2 linked regions of the Pelodiscus sinensis genome follow. The protein of the gene in region 2 binds, or shares a complex with, the protein of the main gene of each other region. Links are inferred from orthologs where the notes say so. Each region holds a gene or a part of one and is shown on either strand. Other genes may lie near its edges.

Region 1 (7,775 bases), on a different chromosome or scaffold from region 2:
CCACCCATGATGGGAGGCAGGCAGCTGCAGACTGCTCTTTTATTGTTTTGGCAGTAAAATAGGATAGTTGGGGGCTGCGAAGGTCTGAGCTATACCCGGTAAATAAACACCTCTTGCCACTTTCGTGCCTTCCATGTAACTCAATTCTTTTGGCATGTCAGCTATTTATAAGCCTCAATGATTGAGGTGCTGGTGATAAAGATAAACCTTCTGATTGTTCCCAGGAACTGAATGGCATTGGTATTTATCCTTGGGCCCTTTTATCTGGACACTTGTCCTTGGCACTGTTCTTAGCCTGGTTCACTGGAGTCTGAAAGTGTTACCAAAATAGCTCTGCATTGATATAACCTTATCTAGACATGAGCAGGCAAGATGAAAAGCCATTGGGCTCTGTTGGTGCATTTCGAAAAATTGAAAGGAAGGAAGACAATGTTTTATTCCAATGTGCCGCCAACTTGCACAAACCACAAAGGGCCAATTCCTTTGCATCAAACTACATCTGTCTAACTTGTGCCTCCCTTCCTGTGCATAAATGTATAGGTATAAGAATGTACTGTACCAATGGGTCATCAATCATGGTAGCAAGATAAATTCATCGCGAGGCTCTGGTAATAACAACATAAGCCATGGGATGAAATTAAAATGGCGTACGATCATGCCCAAGACTCCGCTGTCTATTTGTGGCCTTTTTCTTTTATTTTCTACATCCTCTTGTTTTGGTGTTGACGTCTTTCATTACTGCCTCCGTGCGTAAATGCTGAAAATGCTGCCAGGATACATAAGCAGTGCCAGGGTTATTCCTCTTTTGGCTTTATTCTTTATTCACTGCTTCCATCTGAAATTGTGCTGGTGAGGATGAATCAGCTTGGCCGTGCTGTAGTTACTCTCTAGTGTTCTTCTGGTTTAATATTTGTTGCAGTACATATATTTAGGATTTTTTAATGGAATGGTCCAAGGAAATATCCTGTACCATATACTGCACTTTAGAAGGTGTCTGCCCCACATGTCTGCCCCATCCCAATTATTTTGCCTTGGTGAAATAATTACAGTGCAAATGCCGTTGTGTGAATGTACTCACAACAGGAATCCCTTGTCAGTTATATATGTTAGAGTTTTTTACTCAATCTCATCAACATATTCATCAGATCATATCGATCTGAGGAAGTGGGTCTGGCCCACGAAAGCTCATCACCTAATAAACCATCTTGTTAGTCTTTAAAGTGCTACATAGTCCTGTATTTTGTTTCATCAACATAGTATCTGAATGTGCCCCAGGGGGGAAACAATGGCACAGCAAAATCTCTACTGGACTTCCTGGAGTCTTCTAACTTGGAGTAAGAAGTTTGTTGGTTATTAGGAATGGAATTTTTTGTATTTGTGATTCTTTTTTGAGCTAAACTCATCCCTAGTCTAAAGTCATTGAAATCCATGGTGTTAGATTAGGGATTAATTAGGTCTGCTGCATCTTAGGCCTTCATGGAGTTCAGCAGGTTGAGAGGTACGAAACAGGCGGAAAATTGTCCATGGGAAACCTTCCTCTAACTATCTAATTCTTGACTCTAATTCTTTCTTTGTGCTAGAGAATGCATTCCAGCTGCCTGCCTGACAGATCCATTTGGCTAATTGTTAGCATTGCTGGCATTCAAAATGCTTTAAACTTGCTTCATAACAATGTGGGTGATGCCTCTAAACATTTTGGAACATAAGTTTAATTAAACATCCAATTGCAGAGAAACAAAAGTTGTTTCCTTCTAGAGATCACTTTTTTGGTGTCATTGTTTTTGAAGACTTGGGCTTTTGGCTCACTGCACCTAAGAGAACTGCAGAATGGAATCCCAGCTCAATGCAGGTTTTAAATACTGAGGTTAGTCTAATATGAAAGACAGCTGGTTTTGTTGCCATGTGTCAACTATCCCTCTTCCTTTAGGACATCTTGAAATGTTGAAAGCAATATCCACATCTGATGTATCTTTGTGCTTTTGTTAACTATCTACAACACCATATATAACCCCGTAACCACCAACATAAGGTACAGAACATGGTAACCAAAAATTCAATGTAAAGGGATTCATGCAATACAGATTCCAGAAAAATGTCACTCTTATGTTCTTCTGCTGGTTCAAGGTACAAGCTAATGCTGCACCTTCATTGGGAGGAAGACAAAATGGTTTGGGCTTATACAGGACACTTGATATGCAATAATTCAAGGCAAAACTGCTTTAGAAAGCACAACCAGCATGAGTCACATTATAATTTTTTGCCGTGTAGATATTAAGAACAAGGAAACAGAAATTGCAAATCAGATCACTTGCTTCCTAAGTCTTTATCAAATACATTTTGCAGAAAAACATTCACCTGGGGAAAAAACTTGGAAATGGCAGAATTGTAATACGTGAACATAAAAATGCTGCGGTTTCAGCTTCTGCAAATTCTCTTCCCCATTGAAACCATTGCTCTGTCAAGTTCTGGATAAAGCAGTAGCCATACCCAATACGTCAGTAGATTTTTCAAAATATACTAAAAAGTACACTTACACGCCATCTCTCAAAGTACAGAATCAGGGAAAGCCTGGATACGAATAATTGAGCTGTTTATTTTTAGAAGAATCTGCTTACAAGAAGAACAGTCGTATTTAGAATTGCCATTGCATGAAAAGTTCTATCTATGTTCTGAACTAGAAGGTGCGTTACTTCAGCTACCATTCCTAAGTGCATTTCATTGTTCCATTAAGGGCTCATAGATCTTCATTGCCGTGCCTTAGGGCAGCTTTCGGAGAGCAGCAAAAACGCTATGAAACGTCTTTCTAATACAACAAAGGTACCCACAGATCAAGGTAAGCTTAAGGAGATTACTTACTGCTGCCTTGTAAATATCATCCATGGTTAGCTAATTGCTGATCAGGAGCTGGGCAGAGAAGGCAAACAGTACAGAGACAAACTTCAAGTCTCTGTTAGCTGTCCCCTCCTTCTATCCCTGCTAATATAGCAAGGTGTCAGCCCCTAAATGTGTCACTCAGGGGCTGCTGCTCACCACATCAGAAACCTATTGTATGTCTATCAAAGATGCCCACTCCAAGTGGGAATTCCTCACCCCTGGGGGGAGGGGAAGGACGGGACACTATGCAAGGCCCGCAGCTGGCATTCCAAGGGCCCAATCCAGCTCTCGGAGTAAGTGGGATTAAAGCAGCCAAGTAAACACTGGCAAGTATTCGCGTCAGACTGCAGGTCTGATCCTCTGGAATTGGCTGGCAAACCTCCCTGTGAAGCCAGTGAGAACAGCTGGGTATCCTGGAACTAAATACAGTATTGGGAATGTTTGGGTAGCTAGGCCCTTTCTTTATAAGATGCTAGACCAGCGATGGGCACAGGCCCATATGCAGGGATTTCCGGGGGAGGGTAAGCTGCGGGAGGGGCTGGTGGCTGTCACCCTCCGCCCCTCCCCGTGGGCCAGCCCCAACCCCTATGGCCCAGCCCTGCCCCCATCCTCACTCCTGTGTGAGAAAGGGGGGAATCAGCCCCAGCATTCCCCAGCTGGCTGGAGCATGGGGGAAGGAGGCTGAGGCAAAGTGCCGCCCCTGCCTTCCGTAGGTCGGCTGGAATCGGCCTGTGGCGGACCATAAAGGACTGTGTGGAGGGGTGTTCGCACCCTTCTTACACACCCCGCCCCCCGCATATGGGCCTGGGGAAAATACTGACCCGTAAGCCAGATCCAGTTTGCCAGAGATACCCCTGGCAGGCTGCCACCACTATATTTACCTGCGCTGCTGAAGGTACGGGTGATCACAGCTCCTGTTGGCTGCAGATCCACGTTCCCGGCCAATGGAAACTGCGGGAAGTCATGTCCAACGAGAGCTGCAATTGCGGGTACCTGTGGAGGTGCAGGTAAATACAGCGCAGTGGCCCTCCTGGAGCTAACCTGGCAAACCACCACCTTCTATTGCCCATCACTGGTCTAGACCCAAACCCCGGATCCAAATCCACCCAATTCTGGAATAGTTTGGATCAGAATCACTGCACAGGTATCAGAGACATAATACAATGGGACTATGAACTCTGCCACTAACTCCCTGGGTGACCTTGGGTAAGTCACTTAACCTCTTAGTGCCTCAGTTTCTTTGCTGAATGAGGATATTTAATGCCTTGCCACCTTTGTAAACTACTTTGAGATGTCAAAGAAAAGGCTGTTAAGGACCATTATGATTTTATTGTATTGTAAATTCTAAGTTACCCTGTTGATGCTCGTGACTACACTCCTGTCATCTGTGCCCACAAAAGCTCATGATACCATCTACATATTTTGTTAGTCTTTAAAGTGTGACCAGAACGCTAGTGTGATGGATTTCCCCTGAATTTAACCCAGTACAGCTGAGAGCAGACTCTGACTCAGCAGGAATAAGCTTATTATTATTAATTGCACTATTTGTATAAATAAATACATGAAAAATGTTTGGCACATTGGCGAGGATCTTAATCTACAAATGAATCTGTGGGGAGGACGTTTTTCTTCAGGAATCCAGAGCTCCCTCTTGTGTCCAAATGAAATGCAGACAGCAAGAAAAAGTAGCAAAAAAGTCAGCAAAATGGGATGCCAGTGTATTTTTTGGACTGTTTTACAAGTTAGCCTATATATCAAAAGCAATGGCTGTCTCTCCTGTGTTGAGGAAAGGGATGTTCTGTAGGGGAGCAGATAGCTCCAAGGACCAGTAACATGGTGTAAAGCTCATGTTCCAATAGTCATTAATGGTCTGATTTCCAGAGATGCACATTAATTGCCAGTTTGGAGCTCTCTGCACCTCTTGAAAATGAAGCTGAAGATGATACAGAAGGTGTGAAATGAGTCAGCTGATCTTTTTCCAGTTCCCTTTGGACAGGTGTCCATCCTGGGTCTGGTCAAAAAGTGGGAAAATGATTTTGTGAACTGTTTTCAAATTTTTTGTTTTCTGTTTTGGTGAACCAGTTTTCTGCTTTTTTTTCCCTCAAAAATAATGTGATATTTACTGCAAATGAGTATTTTTCATTTACTGATAACCTGGTTTTCAGCAAGACAAGATAGTTTCCAGTAACTGAAAACATTTCATACCAAAAAAATTACCAAAAATACCACTGAAAATTTAACCAATAAAGGAACTTTTGGTGAATGCTAACAATAGTTTGCAAAAAAATAACCTTTGGGGGGGGGGTAAATTTAGTGCAAAGCATTTTGTACATTTGTAATGCATTCTATAATTAGCATTAATTGGCATTAGGGATATAAAATCCTGTTTAATCAGTGAAACCTGTGGGACGCCTCATAGCATTTGTAGTACCTAATCCAAAGCCCTGGGAAGGTTTTGGCCTTTGATCAAGCCCTCAGAGAAGTGAAACAGCAATTTAATTAGGAGGCACAATGCTTAGCAAGCTGTAACTCATCTGAGTCGATGTGGTTTTGAGAAGACAGAAAGGAAGTTCTGCTCACCCACCCTTGCTATAATCAACACTATGCCTGTCCTCTTGAGAACAAAATCCCTGTTCACTTGTTACTAGTATTTGTCTCATAAGAACGGCCATACTGGGTCCGACTGAAGGGCCATCTTGCCTCGAATCCTGTCTTCTGACAATGGCCAATGCTGGATGCCCCCAAAGGAATGAACAGAACGGGGAATCATCAAGTGATCTATCCCGTCACCCATTCCCAGCTTCTGATAAATAGAGGCTAGGGACTCCATTGCTACCCATCCTGGCTAAAAACCCATGGATGGAGCTAACCTCCATGGATTTATCTAGTTCTCTTTTGAACTCTGTTAAGTCTTGGTCTTTACAACATCCTCTGGCAAGGAGTTCCACAAGTTGACTGTGTTCTATGAGGAAATACTTCATGTTGTTGTTTTAAACCAGCTGCCTAATAATTTCATCTGATGACCCCTAGTTCTTGTGTTATGGGAACAAGTAAATCACTTTTCCTTATTTACTTTCTGCATGCCAATCATGGTTTTATGGATCTCTATCATATCCCCCCTTAGTCTATTCTGAAAAGTCCTACTCTTGTTAATCTATCCTCATAAAATATGTGTTCCAAACCCATTAATTATTTTTGTTGCCCTTTTCTGAACTTTTCCTAATGCCCAGGTACCGTTTTTGAGTTGAGGCAACCACTTCTGCACTTAGAATTCAAGATGTGGCCATACCATTGATTTATATAAAGGCAATAAGATATTCTCTGTCTTATTCTCTATCCCTTTTTTAATGATTCCGGACATTCTGTATACTTTTTTTTTTTGGACTGCTACTGCACATTGAGTGGATATTTCCAGAGAGCTATCCAAGATCTCTTTCTTGAATGGCAATAGCTAATTTAGTCCCCATCATTTTGTACACATAGTGGGGATTATTTTTTCCAACGTGCATTACTTTGCATTTATCAACATTAAAATTCATTTGCCATTCTGTTCCCCAGTCATCTAGTTTTCTCAGATCCTTTTGAAGCTCTTCACAGTCTGCTTTGGACTTACTATCTTGCAGACTTTTGTTTCATCTGCAAATTTTGCCATGTCACTATTTACCCTTTTCTCCAGGTCGTTTATGAATGTGTTGAATAGGATTGGTCACAGGATGGACCCCTACTTACCGCTCTACATTCTGAAAACTGACCTTTTATTCCTACCCTTTGTTTCCTATCTTTTAACCAGTTCTCAATCCATGAGAGGACCTTCCCTCTTATCCCAGGACAGCTTACTTTACTTAAGAGCCTTTGGTGAGGGACCTTGTCAAAAGCTTTCTGGAAATCAAAGCACACTATTTCCATTGTCCACATGCTTGTTGACCCCTCAAATAATTCTAGTACATTAGTGAGGTATGATTTCCCACCATGTTGACTTTTCCCCGACAAATTATGTTCATCCACGTGTCTGACAATTCTCAACAGAAGAAAAGTGTAGTCACTGTTTATGTGGAATTATACAGAGATAAAAATAGTATGTTCCTCTTAAAATATCTGGGCTGATTAAACTTGCTGAAGGGAAAGGCTTGTAAAATGGACTGAAATAATAATAGAGGCCAAAATCTATTAGCCAGAAGGACAAGTAACTTCCCTGTCCTGGCGCAAGGACCAGGGGCATGACCTGGTTAGAAGCCTGGTACTAAGTTCCCACCTTGACAGACCACAAGGGGTCAGTGGAAGTCCCACATATGCTGAGGCCCTGCCATGTGCCACACTCTTTCATATGGTCTTAAGCAAGTGGATATGATAAATATTGAACTCTCTCCCCTCCCTGCCTCTTGACAGCTGTGATGGGGAAGCTGCCTTTTGGCTGCTTCAGGCAGAGAAGTTCTCTTTCCTCCTCCATCTTCTGGGCAGCTGGAGGGAGACTCTTTCTCCCCTCACTGTCCCTGCCTCGAGGGCTGCGTCTAGATTGGCATGATTTTCCGGAAATGCTTTGAACGGAAAAGGTTTCCGTTAAAAGCAATTTCGGAACAAAGCGTCTAGATTGGCACGGACGCTTTTCCGCAAAAGCACTTTTTGCAGAAAAGCGTCCGTGCCAATCTAGACGCGCTTTTCCGCAAAAAAGCCCCGATGGCCATTTTTGCAATTGGGGCTTTTTTGCGGAAAACAAATCTGAGCTGTCTACACTGGCCCTTTTGCGCAAAACCTTTGCGCAAAAGGGACTTTTGCCCGAACGGGAGCAGCATAGTATTTCCGCAAGAAGCACTGATTTCTTACAGTAGGAAGTCAGTGCTTTTGTGGAAATTCAAGCGGCCAGTGTAGACAGCTGGCAAGTTTTTCCAGAAAATCAGCCACTT
Region 2 (7,182 bases):
CAGCCTGGCAGGCAAGACTACACAACACGCAGGCCCTGTTTAAGTCCATTCTGCTGATATTCATAAAATGCAATATTTACCTGCTGTAAATATGGGTGGAAACTCACATGGCAGCACTTTAAATGAGCAATGACAGTCCAGGAATTTAATCAACAGAAGACCATTATATTGATGTGTGGTGGTAGAGTGGGTTCCCAGTGGAGGCTACGTTAAAAGGATCCCATGCCTAGGGTGTGTGTTGAGTAGCCCTGTGTTAGAGCATCTAAAAATTAAAACAGTGAATTGTTTCCCCGGGATTCAGTTTGGAAAGTTGCACATAAGGGGGTAGTGACACACAGCAAAGTCCAAGAAACCCTCAGCTAAAGAAAATAACGTGATCGCATCTGACTAAACATTCCCTTTTCTACCCACATCTGTTATTCCAAGATGTAGTCCTTCCTTGGGTATGGCTGTCTCTAGAATAAATACTCCATGCTTGGATTCCTGGCTTAATTCATGTTGCCCAGGCTCTGCTCTGGTCATACAAAGACTGGACCAGGAAGGTCACTTTCCAATTCAGAAGTCCCTACTCGGTTTCCATTGGCTCTCCTGGCCTCTGGCCAACTCGCTTCCTTGGCATTCCTTGGGGACTCTCTAGGACCCACGGTCTATGGTTTCAGCCCTTACAGGCAAGACAATTAGAGGTAGGTCCTAAGAGTAAACCCCGTGAAGAGACTTGACTGCATGGCTGGCATCTCCAGAAAAGGGTCTTACCTCTCCCAGTCATCACACCAGGGAATTATGAGCCTAAAGGCCTTGGAGGATTGTGGCCTTGGGGTAGGTCAACACTGCAAAGTCACACCCAGAGCAGTGAGATTCAGAGCCAGGGGCAACTGAGAGCTGGAGTTCAGGCTGTGAAACCCAACGAGGGGAAGACGGTTTTGGAGCCAGGGTCTGAGCACAAAAGTCCACTTGGCTGTTTTTAGCCAGGCAGATGGAGCTAACTGAGCCTGGTTCTGAGTTGCTGCTGCAGGTTTTCCTTTGGGCTCCAGCCTTGCCCCGTGTCACACAGCAGGTGAGCCGCAGGGCCAGGAACAGAACCCAGCAGCCTGGACTCCCACCCCCCATGGATACCTGCTTGCTGGGCTGTCCGTGCATAGACAGCGCTGCCCACAGAGACGCCCGTCTCCCAGCATTTTCTCTGCCTGGCTGAAGTGGTTTTAAGGTCACAGGATGTTTGAATTCCTCGTGAATCTCGCTGGGCCCCAGAGCAGGGATTGGGAAGGATTCAGCATAAGGAACCCATCAGAGGAACTAACGTGGTGTGATGATGTGGCGGGGTTCCCCCTGATCCTGCAACCCCGTAGCAGCAAGAATAGACTCCATCAGCCAGTAGAATAGAGAGGGTTTATTGCTGCTCTGGGATACAGCACATCTGTGCTGTGTTTCAGGAATTAGGGCCAGGATGCCTCAGACCCCTTGGATTAGGGGGTCCATTGTCAGCCCTAGACCCTCAGCTAAAGCTGTTCCCTTTGGCTACGTCTAGACTGGCATGATTTTCCGGAAATGCTTTTAATGGAAAAGTTTTCTGTTAAAAGCATTTGCAGAAAAGAGCGTCTAGATTGGCAGGACGCTTTTCTGCAAAAGCGTCCGTGGCCAATCTAGACGCGCTTTTCCGCAATAAAGCCCCGATCATCGGGGCTTTTTTGCGGAAAACAAATCTGAGCTGTCTACACTGGCCCTTTTGCGCAAAAGTTTTGCACGAAAGGGACTTTTGCCCGAACGGGAGCAGCATAGTATTTCCGCAAAAAGCACTGATTTCTTACAGTAGGAAGTCAGTGCTTTTCCGGAAATTCAAGCGGCCAGTGTAGACAGCTGGCAAGTTTTTCTGGAAAAGCGGCTGATTTTCCGGAAAAACTGGCCAGTCTAGACACAGCCACAGTGTTTCCCAGCCAGCAACTGCCCATTCCCCTGAAACCTGGTGTTGGTCTCTGCCTCCTTCCCTGCTTGGGGTCTTTGCCTATGTGGCTTAGGCAGCTGTCCTGCTGGGCAGTGCTACAGATACCGTCCAGTAGGGGTCACCCCCAGCTCAAACACAGCCACCAGTGGATGACCATAGTGTATGACCTAGTATATGGCTTGCCTACTACATCACATGTGGTTCAAGGCAGGAGTTACCATGCTAGCGTCTCTGACTGCCTCAGTGGCCGGGGACAGTGGGGGACTTTTCCGAGGAGAAGCTGGTCCCAGGGTGTACATTCAATGAGGCAGAAGGAAACATGCTGGCTACGTGTTAGAAGCCAGGCCTCAGTGCTGAGCACTGGGGAGTGAAATGGGCTGTTTCCTTGGGTTTATCCTCCTCCCCTGAACTTCCCATGCAGCATAGCTCTGTCTTAGATCATCTCTGCCCGGAGAGGTTGCTACGTACCCTGAGCTGGGCGGGGCGCTCGGAGTTATCAGTACTGGCGGAGGATGCTTCCTATTTAAGGAGAACTATGTTGCTGAGTGGTGGGGGAGGCAGAATTAGCTCAGGCACATTCAGGCTCCGTGCTGACGTGGCTCCTTTCCCCTCTCTTTGTAAGATAATTATAGATGCTCCTACCTGTCTGTGACAAGCACAGACCCCCTCGGGAACGGGCTGTTCCCACCCAGCTGTTTTACCCACCCCACTCACTTGCTGCTGCAGCTGCGCGGAATTCACAAACGCAGCTGGTGGAATAAGGTTTGGTCACCCCCAAAAAATGAGCCCAGGAAAGGGTTTCCATCGGAAGTAGCATCCCCTGTGACCAATGTTCCCTCCAATTCTTTTCGATTCACGTGCACAATAAAGTTTGTTACATGCACTCAGACATGTGCGAATGTGCACCACCAGGAGAAACCCAAACCCAGCTGTTGGCGTCTGCTAGCCAGCTGGGCAGCACTGGAATCTCTCCTGAACAGCTGCACAAGCTTACAGGGAGTGCTGGTTTTTAATGGGGTAACCGAGTGTTTCAGCCCTGGGTGGCAGCCCCCCCGCCTAAACGCAGCCCGTGGCTCCGAAGTCTCTTTCTAGGGCTTCCTGTCAGGATGCAGGTGGCCATTTTGTTTTGGCCTTGGTTGTCTTGGCCCTCACCCTGCTGTGGCGTTCAAAGCTGCCCCAAGCCCAGCTAAACTGGCCCCAGAAGGATTCCCTAGGTACTCAAGGGACTTCTGAGCCAATCGGCTGCTGGCACCCAGCTCGGAAGGGGTGGCTGGGAGAACCCAGAGGTCCCTAGCAGTTGGGGCCCTTGGATTGCGGAAGCAAAATACGTGGCATTGCTGTGCTGCAGCCAGGCCTGCCCACGGGTGGGAGCCAAGGGGGTAGTTGCCCTGGGCCCGGCGATGGAACAAGCATCTGCATCAGCAGCTGGAGCTGGAGGCCTCTTTGAATTGCTGCCGGAGCGCGGCTCCACGCGGCTGGGAGCTAGGAGTGGGGGGCCAGCCATGGTCTGGGCAGCAGTAAGGGCTGAACGCCTGCCTGTGGGGGCGCAGAGTGGGGGTCCCTACACGTCTTGCCCTGGGGCCCATGTGGCTGTCGGCCCTGCCTGTAGCCCCCGTCTCTCGGGGCGAGTGGAAAAGCAAACAGATCCCAAATGACAAACGAGTTTCAGTAAAACGCTGGGCAGATAAGGGGTTTATTCCCACCCGTACATGACCTGCACTGGGGCCGGCCGCCGCTTCCCTGCCACTGCGCCTTTCTAAGGCCCCCCCTCAGCATCGCAGCCCAGCACCGGGACGGGACTGGAGGAGGAGACGGCTCCCTCTTCGTCCCCCGCACGCTGCTCGGAGCGCAGGCGGAGGCGGGAGTGTGACGCACAGCCTAAGGGAATCCACATGGAAATGCCCCTGTACAAATGCGTATCGCTCAGGCCTGCCAAGGCCTCGCACATCAACTGAATTTTCGGACATGGCGACTGACTGTTTTGGGGGGTGCCTTGATTTCTGGATGCCATCTTGGCCTGATTGTCCGATGTGAGAGTACGGCTCCTAGGGAGCACTCCGCCCCCCTGAAAAGCAGTTTGACTATGGACCATAGGGCTGCCCGAAGCTCATCCCGCATGGCCACGGACATCCAGTACCCGCAGGGCTCAGGATGAAGGACTGACTGGGCTGCTGTGGGGGTCACTGTCGCTTTCAACGCTCTCCTTTTTCCTCCCTGCCAGATCACTGAAAATGTCCGACGTGGAAGAAATCATCGAAGAATATGAAGAGTAAGTGCTGGGCTTTAAAACAGTCCCTCCCACGGCCAGAGGGACAGCAAGTGCAGCAAGTCCTCTAGAGCAGTAGTTTTCAAATTGACACAAGAACATAACCACGGCCAGCCCAAGGGTCCATCCCGCTCAGTGTCCTGTCTGTCGACAGTGGCCAATGCCAGATTCCCTAGAGGGAACCGAACAGGGATTCATCAAGTGATCCCTCCCCTTGTCGCCCATTGCCAGCCCCTGGCAAACAGAGGCGAGGGACGCCATCGCTGCTCAGCCCGGCCAACAGCCTTTGCCGGACTGATCCTCCAGGAATGTATCTAGCTCTTTTTTGAATTTCTTTTCTCATGGCTCAGTTGAAGAAAATTGTTGATGTCGCAACCCTACATAATATGACTAGGGTGTGGGCTCCGGGGTGGGGCTGAGGACAAGCTTTGAGGTGTGGGAGGGGGCTCCGGCTTTGGGGGGGATCAGAGCTGGGGCAGGAGGTGCTTACCTTGAGCGACTGCCAGTCAGTGGTGTGGTGCGGGAGAGGGAAGGGGGCCTAAAGCAGTTTTTTGCCTCTCCTGGCACTTCAGACTATGCTGCACCCCAGAAGCAGCCGCAGCAGGTTTCCAGCCAGTGGAAATGCGGAGCTAGTGCTCAGGGCAGGGGCAGAGCATGGAGCTCTGTGCACTCCCCCCACCTAGGAGCCAGGCCTGTTGCCGGCTGCTTCTGGGGTGCAGCACTGTCTGCGGTGCCAGGACAGGCAGGGAGCTGCCTCAGCACCCCCGCTGCTCAGCTGATCCCCTGCAGCCATGAGACCCAATGCCGGACATTCTGCCACCCAGCCCTGGGTTGCGACCCGTCATTTGAAAACCATTGCGCTTATTCGTTCTCATTATTACCCAGTTCTGCCTGGAGCTGTAGATCTCAGAATTGCAGGCCATGGTGAAATCTTCCTCCCTCCCATAAATGGAACCCACAATGAGGTGTTTGTTTCTCTTTACCCATCTTCTTGTGGGTGTGACCCAAGCCCGGCAGATCTGAGCACCTCAGACTCTTGGAAAGCGGGGACTTGGATCCAAACAGAAACCTTCCAGCCTGGGCCCGTCTCTGCCGTCATGTAGAGGGGAACTACGTGCATCCTGTAGAGACATGCATAATACTAAGTAGTACAAATTAGCCATGGGGGGGCTCTCTGAACCATCCCCAGGAAAGCTGCATTGGAAATAGGCTTTTTTATCCTGCAAATGTTGTTAGTCCAAAATGTTTCTCAGCTCTAAATTGGGATGGAAACATAAGCTTAGTTTCCATAAAATTACTGGCTACGTCTAGACTGGCATGATTTTCCGCAAATGCTTTTAACGGAAAAGTTTTCTGTTAAAAGCATTTTCGGAACAGAGCGTCTAGATTGGCACGGACGCTTTTCCACAAAAGCACTTTTGCGCAAAAGCATCCGTGGCCAATCTAGACGCGCTTTTGCGCAAAAGAGCCCCGATCGCCATTTTCGCAATCAGGGCTTTTTTGCGCAAAACAAATCTGAGCTGTCTACCCTGGCCCTTTTGAGCAAAAGCTTTGCGCAAAAGGACTTTTGCCCAAACGGGAGCAGCATAGTATTTCCACAAGAAGCACTGATTTCAGACAGTAGGAAGCCAGTGTTCTTGCAGAAATTCAAGCGGCCAGTGTAGACAGCTGGCAAGTGTTTCCTCAAAAGCAGCTGCTTTTGCAGAAAAACTTGCCAGTCTAGACACAGCCACTGAGTTTAAAAAAACAAAAACCCTAAAAAGTCCTGTCAATCAAGATGTCTGGATTTTGAACCATTTTGTTTGGATTTTGGCCTTCTTTTCAGTGTGACTCTTCTCTCCACTCCCAGCTAACTAGCTTAAATTTGGTAGAAATTCAAATGAATTTTGAACCAGAACTACTTCTGTAGTGATTGTTCATAACAAAGCACTTGGATGGTTACAAAACATTTTCCCAACTTTTTTTTTCCACGTTGTGAGTCTTGTTGAAACTGATTCTGTTTTGAGACTGGTTTGTTTTGACAAATCTGCATTTTTCCATGGAAAATTCATGTCAAAAAATTCCGTCCGGTGCTCCCCTGCCCAGGGAGCAATCATTGGGAGAAACAAATCTAATAGTTTCTCATTCTTCTTTGCAGGGAACAGGAAGGTAAGAGAACGAGAACCCTCTTTCTGCAGATCAGGACAGACTGAAGCTATAAAACGATCAATACAACTTCAATAACCTGCTCTCTTTCTCCCCCTCCTTCCCCTTTCTCTTCCCCCTTCCTGCAGAGGAGTGTGTGGAAGAAGGTAGGTTTTTGTTCCCTGTTGTATGGAAGGGGAAGGAGGGCAAAGGGTAGTTACTACTGGCTTATGTAAATACTTTGCTTCTTTTTATTTTGCTTGGCATGGTTTGGCATGGCTGCAGGTTGGTAGAACTGTACAAAACGGTTCTGGGGATGTTCCTTCCAATATGTAAACAAATTTTGCTTCAGCTGATGTTCAGTTAAGGTGAAACTCTCCCCGGTCCAGGGGACTGATGCAAGCCACAGGGCTAATGGGCAATGTGAGAGGCACCTAGGCCTTATTCCAGTCCTCTGCACGGGGGTGAATTTCACCCGAAGGGTTTATTTGCCCTTCACTTTATAAGAGATGAGGATGATTGGAGACAGGCCTCCACTAAAGCCTCCGATCTGAGCCCCGGAGCGGATTCAGGATCGTAACCATTTGCAGTGTGGGGCTGTTGGGAATAACCACGTGGAAGCTGGAATCTCAGCTGACGTGTGCGACTGACGGGTCAGCACGAGCCAGCTGCTTTCTCCGAGTGTTGAATGGAAGCTGAAGACTTACGCAGCTGTGCAGCCGTGTGTGTGTGTGTGTGAGTGCGTGAGACTGTTCGTGTGTCTATGTATATCTGCCTACCGGGTGTCATAGGGGAAAGGCCTTATTAGTCTCTGGCTTCATTAACGCCTGGGCTACCCCTGCACTGCCGCATT

What was found. The genes of interacting proteins can lie anywhere in the genome.
Region 1: the proteins of TNNT2 (region 2) and TNNC1 are in contact, whole or in part, in a crystal structure (PDB 1J1D), measured with the Homo sapiens proteins. The link is inferred for Pelodiscus sinensis from reciprocal best matches to the Homo sapiens genes TNNT2 and TNNC1. Residues at the interface, in NP_001263274.1 of Homo sapiens: Gln266, Tyr269, Asn272, Val273, Asn276, Arg277, Asp280; in NP_003271.1 of Homo sapiens: Asp99, Phe101, Arg102, Asp105, Ala108, Asp109, Gly110, Tyr111, Arg147, Tyr150, Asp151.

The regions. Positions count from the first base shown.
Region 1 is NC_134721.1:41,398,127-41,405,901, reverse strand, and holds the start of TNNC1 (troponin C, slow skeletal and cardiac muscles), read right to left. Parts: upstream 3,008-7,775; 5' UTR 2,881-3,007; coding exon 2,857-2,880; intron 1-2,856. UniProt on the Homo sapiens protein: Troponin is the central regulatory protein of striated muscle contraction. Tn consists of three components: Tn-I which is the inhibitor of actomyosin ATPase, Tn-T which contains the binding site for tropomyosin and Tn-C.
Region 2 is NC_134737.1:13,382,041-13,389,222, reverse strand, and holds the start of TNNT2 (troponin T, cardiac muscle), read left to right. Parts: upstream 1-4,164; 5' UTR 4,165-4,170; coding exon 4,171-4,208; intron 4,209-6,342; coding exon 6,343-6,353; intron 6,354-6,478; coding exon 6,479-6,496; intron 6,497-7,182. UniProt on the Homo sapiens protein: Troponin T is the tropomyosin-binding subunit of troponin, the thin filament regulatory complex which confers calcium-sensitivity to striated muscle actomyosin ATPase activity.